Xenopus tropicalis: one gene and its partners. The protein of the gene in region 1 interacts with the protein of each later gene in a pairwise test. Links are inferred from orthologs where the notes say so. Each region holds a gene or a part of one and is shown in the gene's direction. Other genes may lie near its edges. The genes, in order: ywhag, epb41l3 and fam53c.

What was found.
Region 2: the proteins of ywhag (region 1) and epb41l3 interact in binary tests that used the Homo sapiens proteins (3 or more experiments, as listed by UniProt). The link is inferred for Xenopus tropicalis from reciprocal best matches to the Homo sapiens genes YWHAG and EPB41L3.
Region 3: the proteins of ywhag (region 1) and fam53c interact in binary tests that used the Homo sapiens proteins (3 or more experiments, as listed by UniProt). The link is inferred for Xenopus tropicalis from reciprocal best matches to the Homo sapiens genes YWHAG and FAM53C.

The regions. Positions count from the first base shown.
Region 1 is NC_030678.2:94,293,122-94,303,276, reverse strand, and holds the start of ywhag (14-3-3 protein gamma), read left to right. Parts: upstream 1-5,305; 5' UTR 5,306-5,445; coding exon 5,446-5,532; intron 5,533-10,155. UniProt on the Homo sapiens protein: Adapter protein implicated in the regulation of a large spectrum of both general and specialized signaling pathways. Binds to a large number of partners, usually by recognition of a phosphoserine or phosphothreonine motif.
Region 2 is NC_030682.2:106,252,138-106,262,292, forward strand, and holds the start of epb41l3 (band 4.1-like protein 3), read left to right. Parts: upstream 1-3,720; 5' UTR 3,721-3,848; intron 3,849-10,155. UniProt on the Homo sapiens protein: Tumor suppressor that inhibits cell proliferation and promotes apoptosis. Modulates the activity of protein arginine N-methyltransferases, including PRMT3 and PRMT5.
Region 3 is NC_030679.2:48,025,460-48,035,614, forward strand, and holds the start of fam53c (protein FAM53C), read left to right. Parts: upstream 1-3,547; 5' UTR 3,548-3,691; intron 3,692-3,733; exon of another isoform or gene 3,734-3,842; intron 3,843-3,910; exon of another isoform or gene 3,911-4,043; intron 4,044-5,288; 5' UTR 5,289-5,413; coding exon 5,414-5,491; intron 5,492-10,155. Other genes in the region: oocyte-specific histone RNA stem-loop-binding protein 2, read left to right, coding at 315-414, 1,343-1,459.

The DNA.
Region 1 (10,155 bases):
AAGAAGCCAAGTGGACTTCAAAATAAAGTCAAATGTAATAATGTAAAGTAATAATGTTACTGCAAAAAGGGGGGTTACCCTGAAATTTAATCTACTGTTCAGCTTTCTGACAAATGGACAAAGCTGGGTCCTTTGAATGTAAAAGGGACCCTCCGGGGATAGATAGAAGAACCAATAATCCTATAGGATCCGAGTCATGGACACTGCCTCACACCGCACATAATTCAGATTAAAAATTGTATTTGTTATTCTTACATGTAATTTCTCACCTCTGTTGCCATATCAAGCATCAGACTATCTAATAATTTAGCTGTACAATTGATTCAGGCTGTAGGCAAGTAATCTTTCAGCATGATGTTGCAATGATGATACAGAATGCACACCCCCACATCCAGTTACATCAGAAAATGTTTGTCACAGTATTTTTAGAATATTGGCATTAGCACAATTCATTATGAAAGCAAAAAATGTCTTCAAAAAGACCCATAAATATAACTCCACAATCTATGAAGGTGCTGGGTTCAAGGCAAGCCCTAAAGCTTAAGGAGTTGTTCACAACTACAACGGTAGCCGCAAGGCTACTAAATTGGCCAAAGTCAGTTGTGCAAAAAATTCCATTCATTAAATGTAATGATTGTAATGTAATGGTTTTTCTGTGGAAAAACATCTATAGTGTATTGTAGAAAAAAAATTGCTTGGCTTGGAAAAAGTTGACCATTGACTTTAAGGCATTTTATGCATTTTCATCATTTTAAATTTTTTTCGATAAAGCGAAGCAGAAAAGATCTGCCTGTTACTAATTTAATGTACAGGTATAGGATCCATTATCCAGAATGCTCGGGACCAAGGGTATTCCAGATAAGTGGTCTTTCTGTAATTTGGATCTCCATAACTTAAGTCTACTAAAAAATCAATAAAACATTAATTAAACCCAATAGGGTTGTTCTGTATCCAATAAGATTATTTATATCTTATTTGGCATCAAACATAAGGTACTGTTTTATTACTACAGAGAAAAAGGAAATCAGTTTTAAAATTCTGTATTATTTGATTAAAATGGAGTCTATGGGAGATGGGCTTTCCGTAATTCAGAGCTTTCTGGATAATGGGTTTCCGGATAAGGGATCCCATACCTGTATTTGCATGAAAAGCCACTTCCATATAGTTGTGCTTTGTGCTGCCTTTATTCTGCCTTCTGTCAATAACTTTTTTTAGCATCCTAATCATACGTTATTCATATAGCATTGTAAAGTTATGCAGAACTTTACAATAATTTGAAACATACAAGCATTACAGAATAAAATAAGATTAAAGGACAGGAATGTCTTGTGCTAACCGTGAGTTTTATTAGTGATATTATTATAATTAGTGATTTTGCTGCCACTGTGCCTATGCACCCATTTTGCCGGAACCTTTTTTGATGCACAACACATTTTTTTGCAGTGGATTTTCGCTAAAGTTTCACTAAACAATATGCCAATAGCGAAATGTGGAAATTTGCTGCAAATCCATGCCTGCCGAAAAAAATCGCTCATTACTAATTATAATAATAAATTCCTATAGGCAGAATTTCAAAATTAAAATAATATTTTGTACATGACTTTTGGGAACACCTGCCATTGCATTACAAGAAAGGGTCAGGAATAGCAACCTGCTAAGAAATAGAAAGTACAGCAACATATTTTCCAGTAGCTATTATTTATGCCACCTAAGAAATTGTTTATAGCACATAGTCTCTTTCCTTATTCTTAATTACTTTACCCAGGGAAAATTGTGCTGAGACAAACTACCAAGAATTGTGCGTCTTAGAAAAATCTTTGGCAAACAATGTGGTTATAACAGATGTCCACAGATGTCCTGCACAGGCCATAACCACATAGAAAACCCATTGCTATGCGTAATTAGACTTCATAAAATACTGAGCAATTGTGTACAACTCATTTTATATACTTCTTGTATACTTTAAGAATCTAGTGCAGGGGTGTCAAACTCAATCACAAAAGGGGGCTGAAATCTAAAACAGGCTAAGTTGCTTGCCAAATTTTTTATTAAGATACTGTATGGTCAGGCACAGTCACCAGGGGACACATAAAACAGCCAGAAGTGCCTTGTGTTTGACACATGTGATCTAGTGCATAGGACACTTGTGGTCTAACATATTATTGATCATGGGGCCATATGGACTATTCAACAGTTTGAAATGAACACACTCCAGGAAAATATCACACATTTTGCAGAAAATAATAATATAACTTTTTTTTAACTTCCTGCTGTGGTTAGCTACCCTAGAAATTGTTTTTATTATTTACTTTATTATTTAGGTTGCCTTAATAATTCCCTTTTTTAGAGACACCCTTTTGGGTCAAGGACCCAAGTACTGGAGTAGTAAGGAAAAAACTGGGAGAGCTTACAATCTAATAGGGAAAGGAAGTGAGACATATATGGCAAGAGTAACCAGTTTGGTTGTAGAGTTCCTGTTGGTTAGGATAGTAATGAGATGTGCATAGTGAAAGATGAATAATCAGTAGTTAATGTGTGGGGGTAAGTAAAGAGGATTAGGAAGGTGGTCAAGTTGCTGAGGGCTTATGTTATAGGACTTAATGAACAGGTGGGCTTGTTTAAAAGCATGGAGGCTCTGAGTGTGTCTCATGGAATATGGCAGAGAGCTCCAGAGGATGGGTGCAACACGTACAAAGGCCTAGATGCAGGAGTGAGAAGAGGTAACAAGTAAGGAGGAGAAAAGCTCATAGGGTTGTGATTGGAGATGTAATGTATGGTGGTGCAACATTGTTGAGTGCTTTGTGAGTACAAGAATCTTGAAGCAAATTCGGTGTATGACATTGACAGGTAGCCAGTGCAGAGACTGGCAGAGAGGGGCATTACTTGTGGAGTGGGAGGAGAGTTGTATGAGGGTAGCAGGTGTTTATGATGAATTGGAGTGGAGTGAGTTTAGACAGGGGGGTCTGCAAAAAGTGAGTTACTTAAGACTCGCGAGTCTTTTTCGGCGATTTGCGCGAAATCGCGCCGCCGCGTCTGCCATCCCGCCGGCGACTTACATGTTCGCCGGTGGAATGGCAGGGGTAGGCAACTCGGGGAGATTAGTCGCCCGCGAACAGGGAGTTTTGTCGCGGGCGACTAATCTCCCCCGTGTGCCAGAGCCCTAAGTCTAAAGAGGATATGCCTAAGATGTGGATAAGAATCTAGGCTGTGTCTTGGAAGGGTCAAAGGGAAAATGCAGAACGATTTAGCAAGCATAGCAAACATGGGTAGAAGGATTCAACATAAGTCTGTTTAATGGTGGCTGGTGTGAAGGGTATATTGATTATTTATTAAAGGACAAGTAGGAAAAATTCACCGTACTGGGTACTTCATCTCCACTCTTTCTCAGGAAAGATGGGTAACGTTATAAAGAGAGACTTAGGATCCAGTGTGGTATTGCAACCCCCTACAAAATATAAAAGGTGCAAAGTTTGTTCCAGGTCTAATCAACTATAGCAACTAATCATCAGGTAGCATTTACAGGTCACCTGTTTAGCAGCAAACACCTGCTGTTTGCTATGGGTTACTACACCAGGGCAAACATTGTACCTGTTATTACATAAAAGACTAGGAATTCTGAAACGTGTTGAGGTGGTTTTCTATTTTTAATTGTGATTTTATTTAGCTCACAATTATTTGTGCAAGGTTTAACATTTCGTCCTGCTTGTTATCAAAGAAGGCTGATGCCACAGCAGAACTGGAGGTGTGACTTGGGTTGCCACCCTTGCCATGGGCTAAAACTGGGCAAAAGGGTAGGCCAATAAAGTTTGGGCAGAGCTAGCACATTGGGGATGATGCTGTGATGTTGATGCTGGGTTATTGCATAATTTCTGCCCAGTTTTCAGAACATTAAAACCCTGGATAGAAAGTTTTGAAACTGATTGCTCTTGAAAAACTGGGCTCTCTGGTTCAAAACCAGACAGGCTCCTTTATTTGATCAACTGTGGTTTATAGGCAAAATCCACATAGTGTAAACATTTTAATAAAAAACTACTCTTACTAAAATTGCTCTAACATATATGTTGTTTCTAAAAAGTCTATCCTGAGCACCAGTCTTCTCTCCCTTCTCAGCAATCTGTGAATTGTAAACAGGTGGCATCTCTGCAGCGTGTTCTCCCAGCAGGGTGGCACCGGGAGGATGTCACAGCCTGGAGCATTTTGTTTGTTGAAACATCCTCCAGTTGCAACAGATGAAACGCTTTAGACTGTGAAGTCACCCAGATGCTTAGAAGCCTCTGTCACAACAGATGGAATGTTCCATAGTATACAATCTGATATTGTATTCATTTGTGCATAGTGTTGCCACCTTTCTGGGAAGAAATACCCGCCTCCTTATAGTTTAATCTAATTTTCTATTTATAAACTTGGCATGGACCATCATTTTTACAGTCCAGGCTGGCAAAATACTGGCCAGGTGGCAACCCTAACTGTGCATAGCATCAATTAGTACTTATCAGAAAAGTATAGTTAACTCAAATGCCATAAAGGCTTTTCCAAGTCACAGGGTGTGACAGTAAAGTTTAAGCTTTTAAACTGTTGGTAAAGTTTGTGCCAAGTAAACATGTACCAGCCAGAATGCAGGCCTCCGAGCCTATCACATTCTGAACTGTTCTGACAATGGAATGACTCTACCTGTGTGAATATTACAAGGCACCCAAGAGTAACAGGACAAGTATCACGTCAGGTCAGGCTGATGGAACTATGAAGATTTATTGGATTCCCGGTACACCATTCAGCGTTTAACAAAACAGAACACCCATTTGGAACAAGATTATGATAAATGTTACCGTTAAACTCTCAAGTTAGCAGCTACTGACAATATCAAATTGGAGATATCCCAAATATCACTGCAGGCGATAAGCGACTAGAAGCCGGAGAGCAAGGAGGGAGACGTAGTCTTTTGTTCAAGGCGTTTCCCTACATGCACATCGGTACCGCATGCCTAAGAAAACTACGATTCCCATCAAACCATGCGGATCTACCCTGCCACCCTGTACCGCACTATTTCTGCCTGGAACCACCGCCCCGCAGTCAACCAAGACCTTTTAGTGATCGAAGCACAAACTGCTGCCCTTGTACGGTGGGTGACGGCGCCAAGTAGGCGGGACTTATATTTATTCCAAGTGACGTCAATAGGCTGGGAGGCGGAGTTGGAGTGAGGCAGTCGCTGGAGGTGCTACAGACTGGGTAGTAGCTAGATAGGCAAGCAGCCGTTATTTGCTAGTAGGTGACAGCGAGAGGAGGAAGACTTGCAGATAGCTGTAAAGACGCATTTGACATTTAAGGAGGCTTTGCCTTGGTCCAGCCTCTGCATCTGTTCTGCGCTGTCTCCGCTGCAGTCGAGTGCGAGTCGCAAGCCCCGAACCCATCCGCACGTTCTCTTCGCACGGTCTCGCACTCAGCAACATGGTGGACCGCGAGCAGCTGGTGCAGAAAGCCCGACTGGCGGAGCAAGCTGAGCGCTATGATGATATGGCGGCTGCTATGAAAGCCGTAAGTGCGATGATTGAGAGCTGGAGGGAATGTGTGTGGCCGACCTCATAGTTGTTCATCAGTTTATTACTATGATAAGGGATCAATGCATTTGTACTATGGACACATCTGCAGAGGTGTATCTCCATGTGGTTCCGAGGTGGGCATGTAGGGAAGCTTACCGATTGTATATAGATGGATAGATATAGATATTGCAACCTGTCATTTTCCTTTTTACCGCTTGTCAAACAGCTGACCTTTAGTCATGCACTTCCAGGCAGGGATGCGCAACCTGCGGCCCTCCAGCTGATATGTCACTTATCTATCAGCCCTCCAGCTGATCTATCAGCCCTCCAGCTGATCTATCTATCAGCCCTCCAGCTGATCTATCTATCAGCCCTCCAACTGATCTATAAGCCCTCCAGCTGATCTGTCACTTATCTATCAGCCCTCCAGTTGATCTATCACTTACTATCCACCTGGATGCCACTGTTGGCTGGACTACGCTGCCCATTCCTGCTTTAGGAAAGTGTAAGGGATTTCCCTAGAAGCATTAGTGTGCAGCGGGCATCTACAGTCTGACTCTCCAGCTGAGAACATCAAGTAATGCTGAGATTTGTAGTTCAGTAATGTTAGGATAGTCCAATTAGTCAACAATGTAGTTTTGGTTAAGAATGGATAAAAGGTATTGAGGCATAGTTGTGTTTCCTGTCATTGTGCTGTTTCCCAGTATCCAGGCATGGCATGTATTAGACGCCTATGTAGAACATCATTTATTCACAATGGAATTGTGTTGCCTTGATGATAACTGTGAGGGGGTTGCCCAGGAATATCTTCCCATGGCCCCTCCCAGATTCTCCTAATTTGCTGCATTCTTACTGCTACTGGTAACATTTGGAGACCTTGTGACAGGGATGTCAGACTTGCATCCTCTCAGCTTCTGTGGGACTGCACTGGCCTGGTTGTAAAATCATTTCAGTTATAGGTCAAATAAATGCTGCTGCTCACACAGGGTATCTGTGACTTATAAAGACACTTCTCATCTGCAGACAAACCTTTTAATGGTAGCAGCAGCTATTTCTGCATTTACCCTTGGGCCCTAGAAAGGGAACACCATAAATCCATTGCAATTCTATGGGGGGGGAATGCCTAAGTGTACATGTATGTACTTTGGCTGTTGGGAGGGAGGGGTGGTGACGCTTAGCAACTGCTGAAGAGATGCATGTTGGGCTTCCTCTCTGTATTGTCAGACAAGGGGCCTGTGGAGTAGACATTAGAAAATTGGGATAGCCCTTCATCCCTCCCTTATCTTCATCCTTACAGTTATTTTCTGTAGTTATGACACTTGGGACATAGTGTTACTATGGCATGTGCGCATAATTATAAGTCCTAAGATGGAATATGAATTAACTTTCTATCTGAAGTTGTCTAGAACTAGTTGTGTCCTGTGCCAGAATTCAAGTCTGCATGGAGGCTGTACACATTAAAGGCAGGTGATAGGATATGTTTAAATGATCAAAATTGGGGCATTTTGATCATCTGAACATATTTGCAAGTAGTAGTCAGCACAATACCTTGGATTTCTTTTAGATTAGTGCAGGTTCTCCAATGGCCACTTCTCATCGGCATATACAGACAAAAAATAGTTTTTTTTGTATTTCTTGTTTAAAATGCCTTTATTGCATACATCTTAGGGCATTCCAACATATGTTATCACCTGCCATTAATGTGTACAGCCTCCATGCAGACTTGAATTCTGGCTCAGGATCCGATCCCTAGTAGTGTTCATCTTAAAACCGGCATCAGCCACCTTGTATTTATTCCAATACAAAATGGTCATAAAACAGGATTGTCAAACTTGTGGCCCTCCTGCTGTTGAAATGCAGGTCCCATTTCCTTTAGCTAATATTTGTAGTTCAACAGTCCAAAGAACTGCTTGGGGGGACATTGCTGGTAGTAGTTAATCTGGTATTTTTTCAATAAAATAATGCATAATTAAGGTTTCACAGAGAAAATTATTTTTATGTAGGACTATATTCTGTTTTCATGCAGAATTACCTGGTATATGAAAACATGCAGGCATTGTGAGCTTTCCTTTTATATTAAATCAATTTATTTTGTATTTAAATGATTTAAAAAAAATATTTAGGAAATAAGTAGAAAGACAGGGTTAAAATCTGGCCTATGATGTGATCTTTGTGAAACAAAGCAGTAGTGGGAGGCAGTACCAGCCCTTCCAGAAGATTCTGCATTTGTCATATTGCAGAGAGAGGCTGGACTGGTTAAAGGAGGGAGGGGAATCGAGGGGGGAAAAAGGCAATTGTTTAAAAGGATGGCAAAGTCCTTTTTATTTATTTTTTATACTTGATTGTAGGGATTTTCAGTGATTCCAGGCACTGAATCTCCACCATATTGCCAACGAGCTCTCACTCTTTCTCTTAGTTATAATGGAAGAACAAATATATATTGTATATATTCCACTGTATTTGTATTGTGGATATATGTTCTTTTTTTGACATTATGTTAGTATTGATTTTTTTTTTCATTTTACCCTTTGTGAATTTATTTTGTGAATTTATTTTAGCGAATTATGTTAGATCTGCATATATTCAAGTTTGTTAGCAGCAGGGGAACAAATGGCATGTAACTGATGTCTGTAATTGATTTGTTATATTTTATCAGATGGCTTTTGAAAATGATTAAACAAATAACATAAAATTTTGCAGCCCCATTTTTGTGAAGCTACACCGTCAGGCTACAATTTGTCCTTCCCTGCCCTCATCTACCTTATCTGAAAAAAGTCGCCTCACTGATTTCCATAGCAACCTATGATGATGTCAGAAGGAGACTAAATCTGCATTGCACCCAGGTGGTTACCAGACAGCATAAATGGCTTAATTCCAAGGTATTAATGTCATGTAGCCATTCATTTTGTAGGTGGTTCTGAAGATATATATCCCTTATCTGAAATATATTAAAACTCTGCTACTGACATTTGTCAGGGTTAATAAAGTGAAACATTTTAGGTGGTCTTATCAAAATTTGTATACTCTTACCAATTAAAACAAGAGGACACATGTATGTAAGTCACAAACCGTTCTGTATTATGCAGTTGGGGACTTAGTTGGGGCCTTCCATTTGTGGAGAAATAATATACAAGTATCTGCTCTGCAAAATATTAAAGTGCTTATGTTTAGTCTCCCAAGATATACATTTTATAAATTGTGAGTATTTTGTGAGCAACTCTTTAGATCCTTTTGACCTCTCTCAAAATTCCAGATATGTTTCTGTGCAGTGAGCTCTTATAAATGCTCTGATTTCCATATTGTAGAATAGATGATTATGGTCCTCATATATTTAGAACCTCTAAGCAATAGCTATAAATAATAAATGTTTATGCCTGATATATCTCTACTTACAAGTTTATTCATACCGTCCACAACAGGACTACAGGATTCAATAGATAGGTGCTCTGTGCACAGCCTGTAACAGGCTCAGTGCATCAAACCCAATCAGCGAAGCTGCACTACAAGGACAGACAATCAATTACTGTAGTAAGAAGGGAGCACTGACCATGCAAAATGCTTGCATCAGGCACAGCATAATCTTTGAATCTAAAAGTTGGAAAAGTGTTTTACTTAATAAAAGAATATGCGTGTATTAGTGTATCAAGAAATTAGGTCCCCATTCTTAAGAACTACCACCCATATTGGGTAATAGGTAGTTAAATATAGCACTCATTTGTATATCTTAACTACCTATTACCCAATGAGGGAAGTAGTTCCTAAGAATAGGGACTAGGCACTCATTTCTATATCTTAGTGCGACTTACTAATAAAATTTGGGCATTTAAAGTTTTTTGTTTTTTTTTAATGGAAACAGGCCTCCTTAGTTGCATCATATGTCACTAAAGGCGGTCATACGTGCCCAGACCTCGAGTATTTACAGTAAATGCTATTTTTAGTTATGTGGGAGGAGTATTGCGTCCAGTGAATCAGGAAGCTTCAGCCTCTGTTTCCCTTCTTCTGTCATATGACTTTCCTAGGATAAAAAGGTGGCAGGGGATTTAGTTTATTGGATAAGCAATGATTGTCAGTGAATGCTGCTATGATAGTTTTATTAAAGAATATAAGCAATGCTGTTATACTTTATAGTCTGATTATTAAAACCAAGATATAGATATGGGATCTGTTATCCAGAAAACTCGAAATTACGGGACAGTTATTTCCCATAGTCCTTAATTTAAACCAAATAATTGGTTGGGTTAAATTATTGTTTAAATTTCTCTGTAATAATAAAACAGTACCTTGTATTTGATCGTAACTAAGATAAAATTAATCCTTATTGAAGGAAAAACAATCCTATCTGTGGTGGTCAAATAACAAAGATCTGGAAAACCCCCAGGTCCCAAACATTATGGATAAGAGGTCCCATACCTGTATGTATAACACACATATTACACATGTATATGATCTTTTATCCATAATGCTTGGGGCCTGAGGTTTTCTGGATAAGAGATCTTTTTTTAATGTAATTTGGATCACCATACCTTAAAATTATTTACACATTAAATAAACCCAGTGGGATTGTTTTGCCACTTATTACAGAGAAAAAGGAAATACATTTTACAAATTAAAAGAATTT
Region 2 (10,155 bases), on another chromosome or scaffold:
CAGATAACAGATAAACTCTGTGGAATACAATGGCATTCTACAGAGATCTGCTATGTAACCTGTGCCATATAGCCCTATTTCAACTAGAATGGCTGCTGCGGTGGCTACATAGCAGTGTACTTATATAAATTCTAGTTGCCTATGGTATATTTAAAAACACAAAGATTTACAAGTGCATGGTGACAGTACATTTTATTTTAAGTACTTGAAAATACTTTAAATTTTTTTGGTGTTACTATGCCTTTAAGGGCCATATAGCACCAATTTGAAAATTTGCTTTCTGCTAGTTGCAATATCAGATGAATTTAAAATTTGCACAAAAGAAGTAAAAAGAAATAATGAATGTGCAGGTGTGCTTATAGTTTTGGGTATGTATAAGCATGGCGGACATGCTATTTCTGTTTGCAGAACAAATATGGCCTGATAAATGTGCCTGACCCTGAGGGACTACACTTGTTGCACTGATGGCAGTTCTGTGCCTTAGAAAGTCATTCATTGCAGCTATGTCACAGCTAGAGCACAGATCTGTATCCGTGACCCACAGCATCAGTTGGGACTCAATGAAGTGCTGTTGCATTATATAACGTTTAGAAGTCAGTAGAAAGCAGAGTTGGAAACATACAATATCTGACTGATAAAAGATTCAAACAGTTTTGTGTGTATTGAGATTGATTCCATATTATTTTGTTTCACAATAACATTTCTTCTTCCTGTTTCATTTGACTTTTATCTGATATCTTTTATTCTGGAATACCCAAGTAGAAGGATCACAAATTCCCTCAGCATTTAAAAGGCTTTTTCAAACTCTGATGGATAACATCAGAGTAAGTAGGTGGGGTGAGGGTTATCAATTGCTCTGCCTTTTCAGATTTTAAGTTGCCACCAGAGAAACTGCTGATTTGCTGCCTCCAACCCCATATTTATTATGTACTTGTGGGTAGATTTCGATGCAGAATTGTGGGGTAGAAGTCACTGCATTGGCATCTTTTCCAGTGGCCAACAAGCAGCTCCTTCTCGTCTAATGCCATAGTCAAGGATCACTTAGACTACCTGTGACTATTTGCAAGTAGCAGGCAAGACAACTTGGTTGATTCTTCAACTAGAAATAGTTTTTATTTTATTTAATGATTGGGAGCTCACTCTGTCTCCATCTGTTTAGGATCACTGTGCTGAAATAGCTTTGTAAATATGGGGTAAGGGGGCTGTAGTGAGGGGTGGATCACAGTAGGGCAACAAAAACTGTAACCCCACAGGGGCCCTCAGTTTTCTTGTCACATACATCAGCAGATTTTTCACTAAACATCTGTAACACAATGGTACTCTCAGTGGGTGCTCCACTCCAAATTGTAGCGTGCTGCTTTTTAGTGTGACGGCAGGCAGTAGATACAGCTACCGGATTAACATTGTTCTCACTGCTCACTGCTGTTTCAGTTGGGTTCACCACAGTTCGAAGCAGAACAGATTTTAAAATAAGGGGTGAGCTGCACCCTTTTATTTATGAAAATATTGTGAGATGAGCATGAAGAGAATAAATGTGCCAGGTTAGGAAACGCTGGAAAGTCATGTTGGCCATGAATCAAGTTGTGCATGTGGCTTGCAGGCTTACCTTTAGAGAACCATTCTGCTGGGGGACAAATAAAAATTGTGCAAAAATACACTTTTTTGGCAGTGTAACCAGACAAGCAAATGTTGTAGTATATAGTCTCTCTTGTACATTTAAATCCCCAGTGCAATTCACGTGGGTGGCTCTGATCTCTAGTTTGAGCAAATAGTAACCCAGTGTAAGCTGTTTCACACACATAGCAAATAAATTATGGTTATAACCAGATGATTTTCAGTATGCTAATAGTCAGCACCACAGAACAACCCCCCTAGGTTCCATCTGTCCATGCACCCAGTATATTTCTTTATCATCCACACAATCCTGCACAGCAGAGTGTATGTATATGAACTATGTTGCCGCATTCTGAGGTCACATCACCTGGCACTAGAGTAGACCTTGCTGGAATTAGGGACGGGTGGATAGAGCTTCTAGCAAAGATTAACTAGCACTCTAATCACAGATATGACAGCCTGTGCTGAGCAGGAGACATTGTTGAGCTGTTGCTTTTTGAGTATTGATGACTAATAGAAGATCATAGGGCAAAGTTAAACCTATGTCAGCAGAACCAAAGCACTGGCACAAATGACCATAAATGGCTCTCGTAATTATGGATATTATTACCAGGGGTTGTTTTTAACCCCATTAACATTTTGTTTCCTGTTCTTAAAGCAGACTGTTATCTGGGGTTGGGAATGCTGTCGATTTGAGTGCAAAATGATTTCTGTGTAGCATAGCCTGATCTGCAAGATAGTCTCATTTACAAAAACAGTTGTGGAAGGATGTCAAAGATGCCAATTTCTAAATGAAGCTTTCTCCAGAGTACACATATCTTGGACCTGTTTGTCATTCTCTTTTATTTATGCCAAACATCAGCTTGAATTTATGGAGTTTAATGAGGGTGGTTTTTGAGCTAGTGACCAGGACAAAGTCATTGTTTTTTCTTGGGATGTGAAAATGTTAAAAACGTGTATTTTTTTATTGGTATGTGTAGGCTTTGATTTGTAGAAGCTGCAGTTTGGAATGGAAAGGAGTGAAGTCCCAGTAAAACAGATTGCCTTGTCAGCCTTGCAAAAGGATGCCAGCATCAGTTCAGATTTCAATGTCTGCTTTTATTTAACAGAATGTGCTAAGATCTGTACATGCAAACAGATGTTAGGTTTTACCCTCCTTGTACTCCAACTGCTTTTTTGCAAACATTCATTATGCATTTTATTCTGTTACATATAAGGTTGCATTTTGTATATTAATGTACATTCTGGTAAAGTGGTTTTATTTGCTTTTTCTCAGCTTTTGGTGCAGTGTCATAACTAGGGTCATGTGAGCCCTGAGTAAAAATTTGCAACAGCCCCGCCAACAATATTTTTATGAAGAGGCAGATTTTTTCCACAATGCCACTAATATCACTGGGTCCACAATAGTTATGCCACTGGTTGCCACTTATTTCCACATCTCATAATACCCTCAGATTCTTCATCCAATGCCCTCTATTTACCCATGTCCAAGTTATTGCAGTTTTCTTAGCCTTCTAATTATAAAGACATTTTATGTGCCCATGGGCCCCTTTGTTGATTTTGTGCCCTGGTGCAATCACATTATTGGACTGAAATCTGAGAAGCTAGTTACCACAACCCCGTTACACCCTTGCCAAGCCCAGATACTGTTCCCAACCACACAGTTATACCCTTTGCCCCCCTGCACCTATTTTCCATTCAAATGAAGGAGAATAACCCAGTGTAGAGTAGGCATGTCCAGCAGGAATTGCTTGGAGTGCTAAGTGATATAACTTTTTCATGTCACTTTTTAGAAATAATATTTCTGTCACAGGTTTAAAATTCACCAACACTCATCATTGTCAATTGGCTCCCTGTTCAATATATGTTATTTTATTTTAACCTATTCCCCTTAGTTACTTCTCTTTTTTTACAGAAGATCGTGTGCTATATTGCCTAATAAACCACAGGATACAAGGACAGCAAAAAAAAAAAAAAAAAGATATCTCTAGTCAGCATATGCAGTGTCACGTTTACTATTAGCACAGATTTGATTGTGAAATAAGTCTGTGAATCTTGGCAATAGTACGTGGAAAATCCATCCATTTTACTTCTCTTTCCTGAAACGTATTCATTTACATTGAAGAAATTCTAACTTTGCCTTTCATTTTTTACATGTATCCTGATATCGGATTATGGACTTCATGAACATCTGTGTGGACACCATACTTGCTGTGGGGGTTACACTGCTGTTGGTGAGTAACTGAGGTTTCACAATAATCTTTGCATAGTGTTGCATGCACTGATAAGGTCTGATTACATTATGTTTTTATTGTTTATTTTACATTTGAGACTATAGCTTAGGAAGGATACCTTTCTCTACACAAGTTTCTAATTATCTGTTCCTTTGCACCTAATAAGGCTGGGTCAATGCACAGGTTAATCAGAATGATTCTGTTGCATTTGAGGTGGGAAGTTTAGCAAATTATGATTTTGTAGTCCTATGGCTATAAGTGATAGATTATCTGCTGATGAATTGCAGTCTTCTTCCTCTAGTGTCTTGTAAGAATAAGTCATGCATTTAAGTAATACTTAGAAACAGTAGCTTCTATATTGTTCTTACCTGTGTCGAAGAAAACATAATAAGCAGGTTAAAAGGTTGTAATAGAGAAAATAGCCTGTACACTGTAATTGCTCGTTGTCACTTTCAGTCATTAGGTTTTGGTCCTATCTTTAGTTATTTTTTATAGACGTGGAGGAAAGTGGATCTGCTTTTATGCGCACACCCTGTAGCTTCATTAACAGACCCATTGTTGCCCTCTGTGGAGCTTTAGGAAGGGCATATTGGCAAGAGAACAGGAATGTATGCATTTTCACATCAATATCCTCTATGTGGTCTCTTCCCCACAGCACAGGCCTATCTCTGAATTCAAGCCTCAGATACTTCTAAAATCTTTGTGTTAAAGTCAGTTGTTTGTTAATGCAAGGTGGAGGGGTGGTGAGAAGCTCTTACTGAAAGAACTGTTTACATCCTTACTATAATATACCACACCCCAAAGCATAAAGGGAAGAGTGATGGCTTCAGCACTGGTATCATAAGAGGAAGGAGCATAACTATAGGGCAGTGTTCCCCAACCAGTGGCTCCTGAGCAACATATTGCGCTCCAACCCCTCTTATATTGCTCTCCGTGACCTCAAGGTAGGTGCCAGTCCACATCGGGGCTACCAAATAGCCATTTGTAGCTCTTACTGGCCCCCCAAGGAACCTTTTTTATGCTTGTGTTGCTCTCCAACATTTTTTCCTGTTTAAATGTGGCTCACTGGTATAAATGGTCAGGGACCAGGGGCACTGCTATAGGGGTTGCCACCGCAGGAGTGCTATATAATACAGATATATAGATCAGTGATGAGCAACAAGTGATTGTGGGTGCTATGAGTGGTCAGTTACAGCTCACAAATGCTAGGTGACCCACCAGGAATAATATACTGGAATGGGGTGCCCTGAAGAGAATCAGTGTCAGATAGGCATTCCAGAGGCACACAAGAAGACCTTATACCACAAGCCTATTGTCCTCTCTTCAATTATTTCCATTTTACAAGCAATCATCTATTCTTCCCTCTATATCTGTACCCAGGGCCGTTGCTGGCCAAATGGGTGCCCTAAGCAGAAATTTACTTTTGTGCCCCCTCCCCCAAATATTACGGAAGTAAAAATAAAATACACAGAGCCCCCAATTGCCCCCATAGACAATGCCCCCATAGTAAGTGCCCCCAATAGCCCCCATAGATTGATTGAACTATCCGGGACAGCGGGATGCGCTATAAAAACCGGGGGGACAGTGTTGGGGGGTATGTTATAATATATAAAAATGTTTTTTTTTGGAGCAGCTGGGATGGTGCCCCCCTGGGAGTTGGTGCCCTATGCAGACTAAGTACTCTGCTTATAGGGAGCGGCGGCCCTGTCTGTACCCTTTCTTTCAAGCAGAAATGGGCAATAGCCATGGTATAGGCCGGCATACCAGGAGCCACTGGGAGTTTTCTTTGTACCCTTGTGTTGCTGTCTGATACTGATTAAAAGGTTTTGCCAAGATAAATTGGGTAGCCAGGTACCACATCTGAGTCACTTGAAATTGTACATGTTGCCCATTACTGGTAGAAGTCATGCAAGAGTCATAGGTAGGAAGTAGGAAGGGGCCATAATATCTGGAGATTAGACAAGTTTGGTTGTGCTAAGATTATGTGTGTGTGCTTATGAAATATGTGTATATGTATATATGGCAAGTTCCATAATGGTGCGCACCATTTACTTAGTACAGTGCCCTGGTGCCAAAGTCCATGCATATGTATAACCTAAGAGCAACAACAGATAGCACACAAGGGATTTGTAAAGCAAAAAAAATGCAAAAATGTATTGATTCAACATTTTGGCCTCCACAGGGCCCTTCATTGGGGGTATATTAGTGCAATGCAGCCCCTAATGCATTTTGGCAGTTATTTCATTTAATTTATCTTGTACGTCAAGTGAAATATGTGTTGCCATACTTTGGTATGTCTGTTATGTGCAACAGATATACAATATATTACATGCATGATAGAGAAATATGATGCTTTTCCTGTAAATGTAATTTTGCTGTACTTTATAGTAATGTTTTAAGCAGTGATACTGTGGCTGCTTCTTTCATACACTTTCATTTCATAGCAAGTTCTGTTCTACACTGACTGTGGAGGCTTAAGGGCCGTGGCAGACGGGGAGATTAGTCGCTCGCGACAAATCTCCCTTCTCGCGGGTGACTAATCTCCCGGAAATGGCATTTTACCGGCGAGAATGTAAATCGCCAGTGGGATGGCATACGCGGCGCCGCAATTGCCGAAGTTGCCTGTCGAGGTTGTATGTTTCTTTTATTTGATTATACTGGGCTGTTTTAGTGCAGACAAAAGCCGTAAACAAAGCATGGCATATAAGCTTGGTCACGTTACGGTAAAAAAAAAAAATTCTAAATATTACTGGGACTTATTGGATGCCTTTTACTATATATATGGGCCAGTGTTGTACTGACATTGAAAAAAAACAGTTACATCATGTTTGCTACCCCTAAGTTTAAAAGGGCAATATTTATTCTACATATCTACATCTACAACAGCATTAATCAATGTGAAATTTTGCTTTTATGAGCCACAGTAAGACACTTGGTAGAGAAAGCTGTGAATTAAGAAAAGCCATCCTATTAAAGAGCTCATACTACAGGCTGGGACTTGAGTCACATGTATTTTGTATAGTAACCATTAAAGGTTTTATCAGGACTATTACCTCCATGTTTTTGGCTATTAATGTTACCTAAACTCAGTGGGAACCATTTAACATCTACTGGGGATGGATGCTTGTCTCTACAGTAGTTGTTGCTTTGGCTGGGTCAACACATATGGGTTCACATATGAGCAACACAGAACCAGAAAGCAGATAAATTTGACTTTGGTCATTTGAATTGAGTTAGGGTTACTAAAAAGGTAAGACATTAAGGGGTCTCCTGGGTGAGTGCCCATCATTTCATGCCTGCCTTTCTAATTATTACCTAAGAATGTGATCAGAGATACAGACCTATTGGCTCCCATCTGCTTCAGAATGAGTGTGGAATACTCAATGGCATCACTCAGTCTTTTAGCTCGGCTTCTGCAAACCTTTTAGCATTATGTGTATTTTTATGCTTACTTTAATCACATCTCTGAACGTGTGATCTAGCCGGTGTTTACACCAATTAGAGGTCCTGAAAATGTATGAAAATTCCGTACTGCATAGATTTGCCTTATGTGCTTAATGGAAAAGTTAGGATGGAATTTAATTGGGTTAGCATGCTACTATAAGCTTTTAAAAACTTTGTTTTGACAGAACTATTTCTCCTTTGGAGTTTGTTTTAAAACTGTTACTATACTAAATCATATAGTTGTGTTAAATAAATTAGGGACAAAAGTCAGTTTATTTGCAGTGGCATCACTTCAGTGCAAATCTACCTTGGTACCATCATTATTGCTGATGATAATTTCAATTATCCAGTCAGCACCATTGCAAGCCACAAGTCTGACACCGGATGACACCAATGTGCTGGAAGTGGCACCTGCAAGCATCCTGTAAATGAGCCCACATTGTAACCTGTTCTGTGCCATGTGCTGACAATTTCACTGTATAATCACGTTTTTTTGCTAGCAATGCTTTATAAGTGCCTATAAACTATAATTTTTATTCCATACATGGATTGCATATTGGGTTTTGTAGCATAATTGTGCTTTCAGCTTAATATTGTTGCTTAATGGGGTTTTCTGCCACGGTGAAAGGTTAAAATCTTGTACTGTTCAAAGGTTGTAGTAATAATCAGCAAGACTTAGCTGGCGGCAGCGGAAATTTGTTTAGCAAGGATTTTTTCCCTAGGCTGTAAACAACTTTATTGCCCACTGTTCATTTTATGTGGTAAAAGCTTTGCTGGCTACAGGGTTTTGCAGATCGAACAAGGGTTAAGTCTGCGGCTGTGATGGGAGATTATCGCTTTAGAGATAAGGAACCATTTTTTAGAGGCCACCTTATTTGGATGTGCTATTTCAGAAGTTCCTTTTATCTCCCTTTTGCCCAGAGGCTCTTATGGCTGTGGCTTTATTTTTAGACAAGGATTTTTATTCAGTTCAAATGGAGTCTATGGATGCTAATGGAATAAAATTTACAAATTATCTTTAAAAAATAAGGAAGGATAAATCACGTTTTTATAAAATATTATGATCACTTAACAAGCATATGTTGTAGTCCACTAACTTAGTTTTATTGATTGTGCAAACAGAACTGTCCAAAAATCCTGTTTGTCTGAAAATCCTCTGATACAGAGACAGCAGTTTGTAGTGTTTGATTGTGATTTAGCCCTTATTTATTTAAACTTGTGTATTATAATGTGCAATAAAGCCAGGGCCAAAGGAGAGATTTTTAAAAGCCCCTTAGCCCAGCCTTATAATCTGTTAATATATGTGTATTGACAGTGTGACTGTTGCAGGTGTGGTTTAGGCAGTAGATAAGTTGACATATTGTGTAAAAGTTATTTGGTAATTTTCCTGTTGAAAGTGCCCTTGTCTAGTTTTTTGGGAAATCAGAAGGCCCGCCGCATTTCCTCAGGCTTTGTATCTTATCAGATTCTGCTGTTGGAAACAAGGTGGAGTGTTTATCAAAAAGTAGTAGCTGAGAAAACTCTTCTAATATCTTTTCAAAATGGCACTAATACAAAGTGAAACCATGCCTCTTTGCATTCTAGACCTGTTAAGCTGAAAGGATTTTTGAGACCACAGCCTTTCCAGTAGGTGTATTAACATTTTTGGTATAGTAATGTCCGATACAATTTAGACTACTAATACATGGTATAGCAGATATATAAGCCATGTTTTCATATGTGACTAACTGTAAAAGGTGCTTGTGTCTGTGCACATTCAGTGCAATGGCAAATGATTAGAAGCATTTTGATGGGGGTGCCACAAATGACATAAGCCTAAAAGCTGCAGGGAGTTGTCAATTACAGCGGATGAAAAACAGTATTCTTGCCTCTCCTGGTTGATCAGTAAATCTAAAGGTTTCATTTTATTTGTAAGTAAATTGTTGCAGATGATCTGTACTTGCACATTAAGAAAATAGTTTTTCCCTTGGGTTATAACAAGGAGTCAGGCAGGAGAATGCAGATAAGAAAGATCAAGCTGCTGTGTCTACAGATATCTTGCACAGTATCCCCCTGAAATGTGTTTTCTCACTCGAGCTGGTGGCTGACACTGGGAGGGTGAAACAGAACTGCAAACCACAGAAGCTCGACTTGGCAGGCTTGTGCTCCAGTGCCTGCAGACATATCTTGGTGTCCAGCTTGGTTCCTGCTACTTTCTACTTTCTGAAAAGACATGTTTTCCTTTAGCAATGATAGCAAAAATAGCAGTTTTGCTTAATATTTTCACGTGATGGCAGTTTTATAAACAATAAAAAGTAATCCTATACAGTCATCTATGTATGTGTGTGTATACAGTATATATATATATATATATATATATATATATATATATATATATTGTGTAACCCTTTTGGCACTGTCTTCTAAGGTGGGGTTATATTTAAGTTACCTAACCCAAGAGCTGTTGTTAACCATTCTGTGCATTTATATTTTAGATGCAATAGTACAGTGCTTGCACGTACTCACAGGGTCACAGAGGACGCTTAACCATAGACTTGCATTGAATTTCTGCCAAAAATGTATATTCTTATAATGTGTGTGTTGCAACTTGCACGTTTGCACCAAAGACCTTGTAAAACACTAGTGGACAGGAGTCCTAAGCTAGTACTAACTTTGCTTGGACCAGGGAACCAGGTATGAGAACAAGACCTGTCCTTTTGTAAATCCTAATAGTGGGGTTGTAACTGTACAGCTGCCAGTATCCTCCCAATGGCCTACCCAGTGTGCAATGGATCGTGTAACTGGTGATCCCAGTTAGCTCTCTGATGCTGACACTCTCAGCAGTGCTAACAGTGCCTTCCTGGGCTTCTAAAAAAATATAGTG
Region 3 (10,155 bases), on another chromosome or scaffold:
TGTTCTGAAAGATATCCAGGCATCCCAGAGATTTCTTGATGTTGGTCAATCGAGTCTGATTAATATAGCAGCAATATAAGGCATAGTATGTATATATTAGCCAAATGTGGGGCCAACCAGTTCAAAGCGATCACACAGCGTGCTGCAGTGTGCTATGAACTGCAGTGTCAATTTGTTCTGGGTTTTTGTTAATTTTTTTCAAGGGTAATGAAAATAATGCCAGCTCAGGGTCTGCAGTGATACCTCACAGTGCTTTTAAGGAATAGTAACTGTAACAAGGCCTATTGAAATTATTATTATTTTTTACCATACAGGGAGGAGTGCTCATTTAATTCAACACAGAGGCTACTGGACTCTTGGCTACAGGAAAGCGACTCTTTGCAAAACCTAGACATGGACTGGCTTGGTCTGCAGGTATTTAAATGCTTTAGTCTTTTCCCTATTTGTTTCAGGTGATGCTTTGTGCTCCCTGTCTTAAAAAAAAAAAAAAAAAAAAAAAAAAATATACACCACTTATGTTGACTTCGGTACCAGCCCAAGTCTACCACAGCAGTGAAGATCTATCTCCGAAGATGACCCCAGTAGCTCCAATTGGTACACAACACATACTCTGAGCTTAGGGACTAACTCAAAATATACAGTATTTTTACAGTTTAATGATAACAGGCTGGTACCAATTCAAATTTACATTACTTGGCTCAGAATAAACTAGCACATTCTGCATTAGAACTGGTTGATTATCTGCCCTGTATCTTTAAAGGAGAAGGAAAGCCTAAGTCACTTGGGGGTGCCAAAATGTTGGGCACCCCCAAGTGACTTAAATCGCTTACCTTGTACCCTGGGCTGGTGCCCCTGTTAAGCGAGAACAGCACCAGCCTGGGGTAGCTGTGAGCGCTTCCTCCTTCCACGTTGATATGCTGCGCATTAGAGTGAAAAGCTGAACTTTAACAAGAAAATTGTTTTTTCACTCTAATGCGCATGTGCCGGCCCAGGGATTTCGCTGCGGAGGAAGGAAGTGCTCGCTACAGGTACCCCAGGCTGGTGCAGTTTTCTCCTAACAGGGGCACCAGCCTGGGGTAAAAGGTAAGCGATTAAAATCACTTGGGGGTGCCTAACATTTTCACACCCCCAAGTGATTTAGCCTTTCCTTCTCCTTTAAGGAGGTTACCTCTCTAAGTGGTGGTGTGATAAGCCCTGGCTGTCCCTGCTTGTTTGTATACCAGTAATCATATAAAGCTAATATGTAAATGAATAAGGATAGTTGGATGTTAAGATTCATAATGTATCTGAAGACTGACACATGGGCTAACTTTTTTTTTTTTTTTTTTTTTCCCTATCACAGCTATCTGCCCTGCAGAACTTGGGCTACTGTGAAGACCAGATTCAAAATTCTTTTGATTGGCTGCCGTTTCGTGATCACACAAATAACTACACCTACCCACATTGGATAGGCTTGTAGACCCTATATTATGCTACAATCAGTCACATCTTTTTTTGAACTTTCAAGGATTTATGTGGTCAATACTTTAATTACGACATTTATTTTTTGCGTGCGTTGAAAGCAAAGGGCTTTAAAAGAGCACCCTGGAAGACGGGTTCTTCTTCTAGTTTGTCTGCATACCTTTCTCTACTGTACAGTTTGTCTCCTACCAACAAAAATAAATGGCTTGGTGCATCTTTCTTAACTGCTATTATAAATGTGTCTTTATAATGCTATAAATGACTGACCTCACGCACTGTCTCGGTATTCTTCTTTAGGGGTGAAATGATCTTTGGCACTAAAGGAGGTTAGTTTTTTCCAAATGCTGACCATAATTTTTTTTTTTTTAGCACTAGAACGTGCCTTATTTGCACTTGCTGTACAACAACTGGCTTTAGTATTGCTGTCTGGCAGTAAGCAAGTGGTTGTGCCAATCTTTTGTTTGTTGTACGCTTGTCCTTACGTTATGTGGTATATAGAAATACCTCATTCTAATTGTGTTGAGTGTTTGAAAAGTTCTATGTTTGGTTGGAAACTTAGTGTTGCACTATAGAAACTTCTAAACATCTGGTTCATATAGTCACACAGCTCCCACAGTCAAAATTTTTAATGTTTAATGTGTTGGCTATTTGTATATGATTTTTAAATAAATATTTTTATTGTAACTTTTTTTGTACTCATCAATTTTTTACATAAGCATTTATGAAAAGCTGCATAACTTCTGCAGCTCGGCTGTCTTTCAATAAGTACCAAAGCAAATGGCCCTCCCTCCCCCACCCCAAATCTGGTTTATTGGGCTGCTACTAAAATTATTTTTTTTCCCCCACTTCCCCTGCCTATGTACATTTTTAACTAGTTCTGTAAAATGCTAGCTTTTACAACTTTTTCTTTTCGTGTGGTAAAACAAAGCGTGTGTATTTTTAAAAACGGCGTGCTTGTGTCAGAACTGAAAACTTTTGGTTTCTACACTTGTGTGCACCACAATATGTCAAGCATGTGGGCCTCAATTTATGGAAGCACAAAAGCTAAGAAGGGACATTAAATGAGCCTCTTCCTTTCTAATGGCAGATGACTATTGTTTGCAGTGTCTTGAGCAGATTAAGCACCGTGTTGGATCCCATTTATCGGGGGGATTTAGAGTTTTGTTCCCCCACCCCAGAGCAGCAAAAAATATGTGTGCTATTACTATTCTTCAGCGAAAGGAAGGAGTAATTTACTCCCGTAGCTATAAAATATTTCTTGCCATTTATGTTAATCTGGTCATACACACACCGATAATATTGTACAAAACCTTGTTTCGTACGATATTCGATGCGTGTATGGCAACTCGGTGAGGTGACCGATATCGCAGAAGGCTGAGGATATCGACTTGCCGATTGGGCAGGTTAAAAGATTTTGATTGGGCACCATTTGTTTAGGGCTGAATCGGCAGAAGGAGGTAGTAATCCTATTGTTTCTACCTCCATATCTGACGATTCATCAGTGGAGGGTTGGAATGATCTTTCATGCGACCATCTGTTGATCGAAAATCACTACATGTGGCCAGCTTTAAGCAGTGACAATTATAAACAATAGTTTTATAAAATTGTAATGTGATGTAATTCTCATGCAAAGCATGCTGGTACCTTAGCAGCTGCTCCCAGGATATGTTCCCTCTTGTCAGAAAGCTTTGGCTGAAGATATCAGGTTTTTTCTATTTTGAATATACTTAATGTAATTTTTTAATCTGGTGCTTTTGTAAAGCTTAACATTCGTAACATTGGTTCTAAATTGTAGTTGTTTCCGCAGCATTCTATAAACTTTTCCCCCTTACATAGGTCCTGACTTACCAGATCGTCCATACCGAGCGATGGGGCCCTAATAATAAGCAGTACACCACAGAAACAAGGTTTGTCTCTGAATGTAGTTAAGGGGTGACCGTCCTCTGAAATATAGGGCCACTAACAACCCAGATTACAAGTTCCTAGACAGCAGTAAAAACCGCATACTCTCTGCACTGTTCAAACGCCTGGAAACTACATATTCCAGCAACCTTTGCTTTCGCATGAGCTCTCCGGTGTGGGGGGAGCGAAAGAGTGGCTTCTGCTACGGCGAACCGCCCACGCTTAGAGCGCCTCTGGCCACAAGGTGTGATTAGGCGTTTTGCACACAGTATTACCTTTGGAAGAACTGGTACTGATGCTTACAGGTCATCCGCCTCACCGGTAGTCGGTAGGTGTACCGCTATTTGCCCTGTCTATAAAGCTTCATGGTTTATCCCGCAATGGGGACGGGACAGCTCATTCACCTGAGAGGGATATTGGGCCGACTCCGGGATGCTGCAAATCCATTGACCGTCATCTCCGTGCTTGTATCTCTGAATGTAAGGGAAGTAGGAATCATTTATAATTAAATCGGCTTATAGAAACCGGGTATTGTGAATTTCACATCTCAAATTGTAATGCTGTACACAGCAAGCTTCCCCTATTTGAGTGGTATATTCTGGGTGGTATTTAAGGGCGCTGCAGGGCCGCTGCTGGCTCAGAGCTGCTCCGGGTCGCTGGGAGGGTCGTTGCTGAAACAGGTAATTGAAGAAGAACAGGTGGGGTGGTAGCGGGAAGGTGACGGGGAGGTTGTTAGAAAAGCGAGGCCTCTGGAAATCGGGCGGTACGGGATGCGGCCCCTTTTGTAGGCGCTGGTCAGGCCATCTCCTGAGGAGGGAGATAAACAAGCCGTTAACTCTTCATTTTCCACACTTAGAAATGCAGTCACAGGGTGGGGGGCCCACTGCTGCCCTCAGCGTAGCTGCTCGGTTTTGCCCAATAATATGTTACTGAGCAGGCAACCAACTACCTTGGTGTAAATGGGTTACATACATTTCCCCATCCTCCTTCAAACACAACATGTCAGCTTTCTACAGCATTCGCGTAGTTCTCAGATAATTCTGTTTTAAATAAACCTACTGCCGGTGCCATTTACTAATATTTGCAATGTACCCATTGGAAAACAGACATTTTTAATGCTGCTCTGCCACTGAGTGTTTGCCTGGCTTCTAAGGCCTATGTCTTGGTGATCTAAACCTTGTGATCAAAAATGTAAAATGATTATTGAATTATTGAAATGTGTAAACTGCCAACATATTACGTAGCCCTGTATAGTAGATGGGTGTATACATCAAATATGCAGATTCCATACAAATACTGATCAATGCAGGAGGCAAAGAAGGCCCATCTCTGTAGAGCTTGCAATCTAAAATCATTTGGCTTAAACAGTGCAATTTTTCTATTTGTTCAGGTATCTGGAGGCATGGATAACATACACAGACAATATATGTATTTTGCGAATGGGTAGTTTGTCAGTAGCAGGTCACGGTACATGAATGAATGAAATTATTCATAAACCAACTTGTATTTTGTTAAGAATCAAAAGCAAATGATGTCCAAGTTTTATTCAGAACACATTTGACACATTATGGGGCCTCAAAAATATCCATTGACGGGGTGTCCAATTTGCAGCCTTCCAACTCTTGTTTAACTACAATCGTGGCTTTCCTAACAGCCAGATGTATCTCTGGTGGTGCTAGGAACTGTACTTCAGAGGGGGAAGAAAGATACAAGCTGGACATTGCTGATCTGCTGGTTTACAGTCCAGATATTACTTTTAGGTAAATTAGACATCTTGGCTATCAGTTACGTTTCTGGACTAAATTGCTACAACAAAATACATGCATCTTCCAAGAATATTTCTTGTTGCTACTGATTGTTAGTGATTGATTTTAAATGTGTAGAATTATAAAGCTGTTGACTGATTGTGTATTTGGCTCATGCAGGATGGAGTGATGGGGTCAATCTGAGCTTCCACTTGGGTCAGGCCCAATAGATCCTGGCACTTAATGGGCCATCATGTGCTATAACCGTTACTGAAAACACAAATGAACAGCCAGACCTGGGCATCATGATCTCAATGATTACGGAACAATTGCAGAAACAAAGTCTGGAGGATCTAAAATGCAAGTCTTTCAGTATAAGTCTGGTAAGGTGTTCCATCAATCTTCCATGCTTCCATTCCATATCCATACTGCATTTTTAAACTTGAGAAGTCAAGGAATTTCTATATATATCAGCAAACTATTCTTGTAGAAAGTGCTAAATGCAGTGTTTAAAATCAGTGAGTTTGTAAGAAAAACCCAGATTCTGAAATTATATGTTCTATCCAGCTTATCTAAACCATCATAAAGGAAATAGACCTACCCCTAAAACTGATTCTCTGGCACCCCAAGCCTGTCAGTATTACACTGTAGGTTTACAAATATTATTGCCACTATACTAGTTATGGTGCATTTATTTAAAACTCATCAAGGCAGTAATAAAATATGAACTCTGTGATCATAATTCACTAATGTAAACTCCGTAATCTAGTTTACTTTTTACAGTACATGGTCTGCCCTAGAACCAGTTCAACCATGAATGATGTAATATAACTTAAACTTGTTAAAATGTTCTGGTGGTCCGGTTACTGCTGACTATAAATCGTCCCTTAATATAGAAGATGCCACTGTAACACGGACTACATAAGGAAGTAGAGTCAGTTGTAAACACAGCAGGCACATTTCACATTGTAAGATCTTGAAGAAGTAGAGCTGCTTGTGCTAAGGAAGTTTTCTTGTGCACTGTGCAGTGTTGCTTTAAGAATTAAACCTCTTGTGGTTGCTGGACCATAGCTCTTGTTGTGGTTGATAATATACTGGTGGTTGTTGGAATTTGTATTAGAGCAGCATTGCTATGGTAGATTTATGTCCTCTTAAGATCCTGTGTTCTTTTTTTAACTTTGCTACTAGTAGAATTCAGAGCCTATACATTTAGCACATTTAGAAAATATTAGTAAGTAGCTAAACTTATAATTTAGGGGGTCATGTAGATGATTCATTTGGTTATATCTGGGGATTAGGGAGTGAGGGAACAGCAGCATCTGTGAGTGTTAGGTATCCTAACACTATATCTTGTGTCAGATTTCTCAACAACAAACCCAAGTATTTTTTTTTTTTTTTTTTGCACTCTGGTTTTCTTTTCTGGAAGATTACACTTTGCCACCCTCAACAAAAAGTAATTAGAAGTAATTAGAATTATTTTCAATTTTTCTTTCCATTTAGACTAATTGCAGTGAAATTCTGCTTCATGCTATGCAACTTAGATATTCCTGATCAGTGCTCTGTGTTCCATAGCCCTTTAAGGAAATGCATTAACACCAGTCAAATAAAACAACTTGTTTAAGCTAGCCATAAGTTTGTTGGGTTTTTGAACTAATGGAAAATTTGCAATTCAGGGGTGGAACATTAAAATGTTGCTTTAGGGGTGTTCTGCATGTTAACACAAACAAATGCAAAATCTTTCCAGATATTTTACTGTACCAATGCTCTAAATTTTCCATATTGAGAGTTTTATTCATGTTATTTTTATTGACATTTTTCTGATTACTGTAGTCCAGATATCTGCAGGTGTGTTCCAGCCTTGCCAGTTTGAAAGTTTATAAAATAATGACTGCAGTAGGTATCCATACACAACTCTGAAATGGTGTTCTACATAAGAATTTAAGTGCTACTTAAAGGAGAACTGAACTTTATAAAAGAATTAGAATAGACATGTTACAGCATATGTTTTGGACTTCTGTACCAGCTCAAGATCACCACAACATTTGGCAGTTAAGAGCTGTGCTCCAAAGATGCCCGCAGTATCTCCAGTTCTTTGCTTCTGATTCACAGTGCATGTTTTTAGCTACTATCAGTTACTTGAACCTAGGGGCCAGTTCATCATATACAGCAGGGATCCTGAACCTTTTGTACTTATGAGCCACACATGTAAAAAGTATTAGAGAGCAACACATGCATGAAACAATTTCTTGGGGGGTGCCAGATAAGGGCTGTGATTGCCTATTTGGTAGCCCCATGTGGACTGCTGGCCTGCAGAAGGTTCTGCTTGAAGTAAAACTGTGTCTCTGTGCTTCCAAAACTTGCCTCCAAGCCAGAGTTTTAAAAAAGGCCCCTACTTTTAGGCCACTGGGAGCAACATTAAAGGGGGTGGCGAGCCACTAGTTGATATACAGTATAAATATAGTGTAAAGTTAAATAAATAAGGCTGATTAATTACAAATTCAAAGTTTCTTTACATGACAGCATAGAATTCTGCATCAGAACTGATTTATAATCAGTTCTTTAGCTTCAGCTTCTATGACAGTTGTAATATAACTTTCTTCTAGTGCCTTGATCATTTTTGATGACCCCCTAAGCTTAGCTGCTAAACCTCTAGGCTGGTACAGTAAGTTCAGTATATAAAATATGCTGTTTCTACTGTAATCTTTTTTTAGACTTCACTTATCCTTTAAAACTAATTGCAGAGTGTTACTGATACACTGGGGAAAATAGTATGCCGGCAAGTATTATTTAATATATATATTTATAATAAGGTCCTCCTGTAAGCTGATGAGCTGCTTAGATCCTGCCTAGTTAGCCTTGGTGGAATAGTACCCACAGTTCTGATATCTTCACCATAAGTATAACTGGTGTGATGATCTAGTAGAAGCACTTATAATAACTGTGTAATGAGTATTTTATTAAATTAATATTAGATATTTAAAAGAGCTTACAAAGTCTCACTTCTGTGCTCTGTGGACCACAAACGAAAAATCTCACCAATACAACTAGTAAAGCAATTGGTATCACCGAACTAGTCAGAAGGTGAAACCTTGGTAAATAATTACTTGACTGTTGTTTATCTTGTCATGTTGGAATTGCAGTGGTATATATGTGTGGCTGTCTATCTTATTTAGACTCCTTCCAGCATGTAGCATCTGTTTTGCCTCTTGCTAGTATTTATGTATATTATGTGCCCGATGACTCACAGTGTTGCCTTAAATCATCCAAAAAGAGAAATTCACTTAAAGAATTATGGGTGAAGACATGCAAATTACTTTTTTATGTTTGTGGACAACTCTTCAACCAAAACCGTTCATGTAATTGTGCACATAGAGGATTAAACCTAGACTTGTAGACAGCCTGTTTCTGCAGGAGGATATTGGTTCTGCAGGATATTGGAACATGGCTTCTGAGGGGTAGGATGTTGAGAAAAGGTGACCGTACCAGGGCTGTGGAGTCGGTAGATAAATTCTTCAACTCCGACTCCTCAGTTTCTGATACTTCTGACTCCACAACTCCGACTCCTCTGTTTTTAATGTGCTAATGTATTTTATACATTCATACAGTCAATGAAAAGCATGCTTCATGGTCACTCAACGTGTTCGTTTATGCACTGCGTGCATTGGGCTTTATTCTTATAGCAGAGAGGTAATTAATTATGACTGTTTGTGAATTGGGACATTTAAACTTGCTTTATTTTTTTTTTTATTCCCATTTAAATTTAGTAGGAGTCGGAGTCGGTTCATTTTTTGCCGACTCCAGGTACCCAAAATTGCCTCCGCCTCCGACTCCACAGCCCTGGACCATACACAAAAAATTTTACCTCGTTTTGTTGAGGTCGCCAAACAAGCAAATCTTTCCCCTGATATTTCCATCTTGAGTGGGCGAAATCATGCTTATGCGATCATTTGGGCCTAGGGTCAAACAATCCCATTACAATGAACTGGATACGAAAAGTCGAAATGAGCTGTCAAAAAACTCAAGCCTGCCCGGTCGACATCTGGCCAATATTTGTTTAGGTATCAGTCTAGGAGCCTTTCAGAGGGCCCCATACACAGGCATATAAACTGCCGAATCACCCTTAAGGACCTGTATAGGCAGCTTAAATCTGCCCATGTATGGCCTCTAGGAATGCACCATATCCAGGATTCGGTTCCGGAATCCACACTCCACTGGCCAAACCGAATCCAAATCCTTAAAAATCACTTGACATTTTGTCACATAAACATGGAAGTTAAAAATGTCTTTGCTGCGTGCCTGGAGCGCTTTAACCCTTCCATATTCTAATTTACATATGTAAATTAGAATTTGGTTCGATATTCAGCCGAATCCTTTACGAAGTATTCAGGGTTCGGCCAAATCCGAAAACAGTGGATTCGGTGTATCCCTAATGGCCACCTTAAGCAAGCCTGATCCTACAATAAATTAACAAACATGGCTAACAGAATGAAACCAGGGAATTGCCCTTCTTACAAGATTAATGTCAGACAAGATAACAGATTGTTTTCAAAGAGAAAAAAAGTGCCAGCAGTGACAGGTAGTTTTCATTGTACATTGTAGGCGTGTCACAGGCACTTTCAGCATTTTTCTGCTTCATGTCACATGATACATCAGCACTTTCTTCTCCCCATACATAGTAGTAATTTTTGGTACTTCTTCACAAAACCTGGTGTTCAAATATACAGCATTCACATTGCTCTTGGTGTGACTTAAATGTGAGGGCAATATCCGAAAATGATATAATTTTTGCAGACACCTGAAAGCCTTTAAGGTAATCTTTAGTATGTCTAGTTCTAAGCAACTTTTTTAACTGGTATTCATTATATCTTTTTTATGGTTATTTAATTATTTGCCTTCTTTGCAGCTTTCAAATAGGGGTCACTGGCCCAGCAGACAAAAACTATTGCTCTATGAGTTTACAGTTTTATTGTTATTGTTACTTTTTATAACTTATTTTTCTGTTCAGGTTCTCTCCTATTCATATACCAATCTCTCATTGAAACCACTC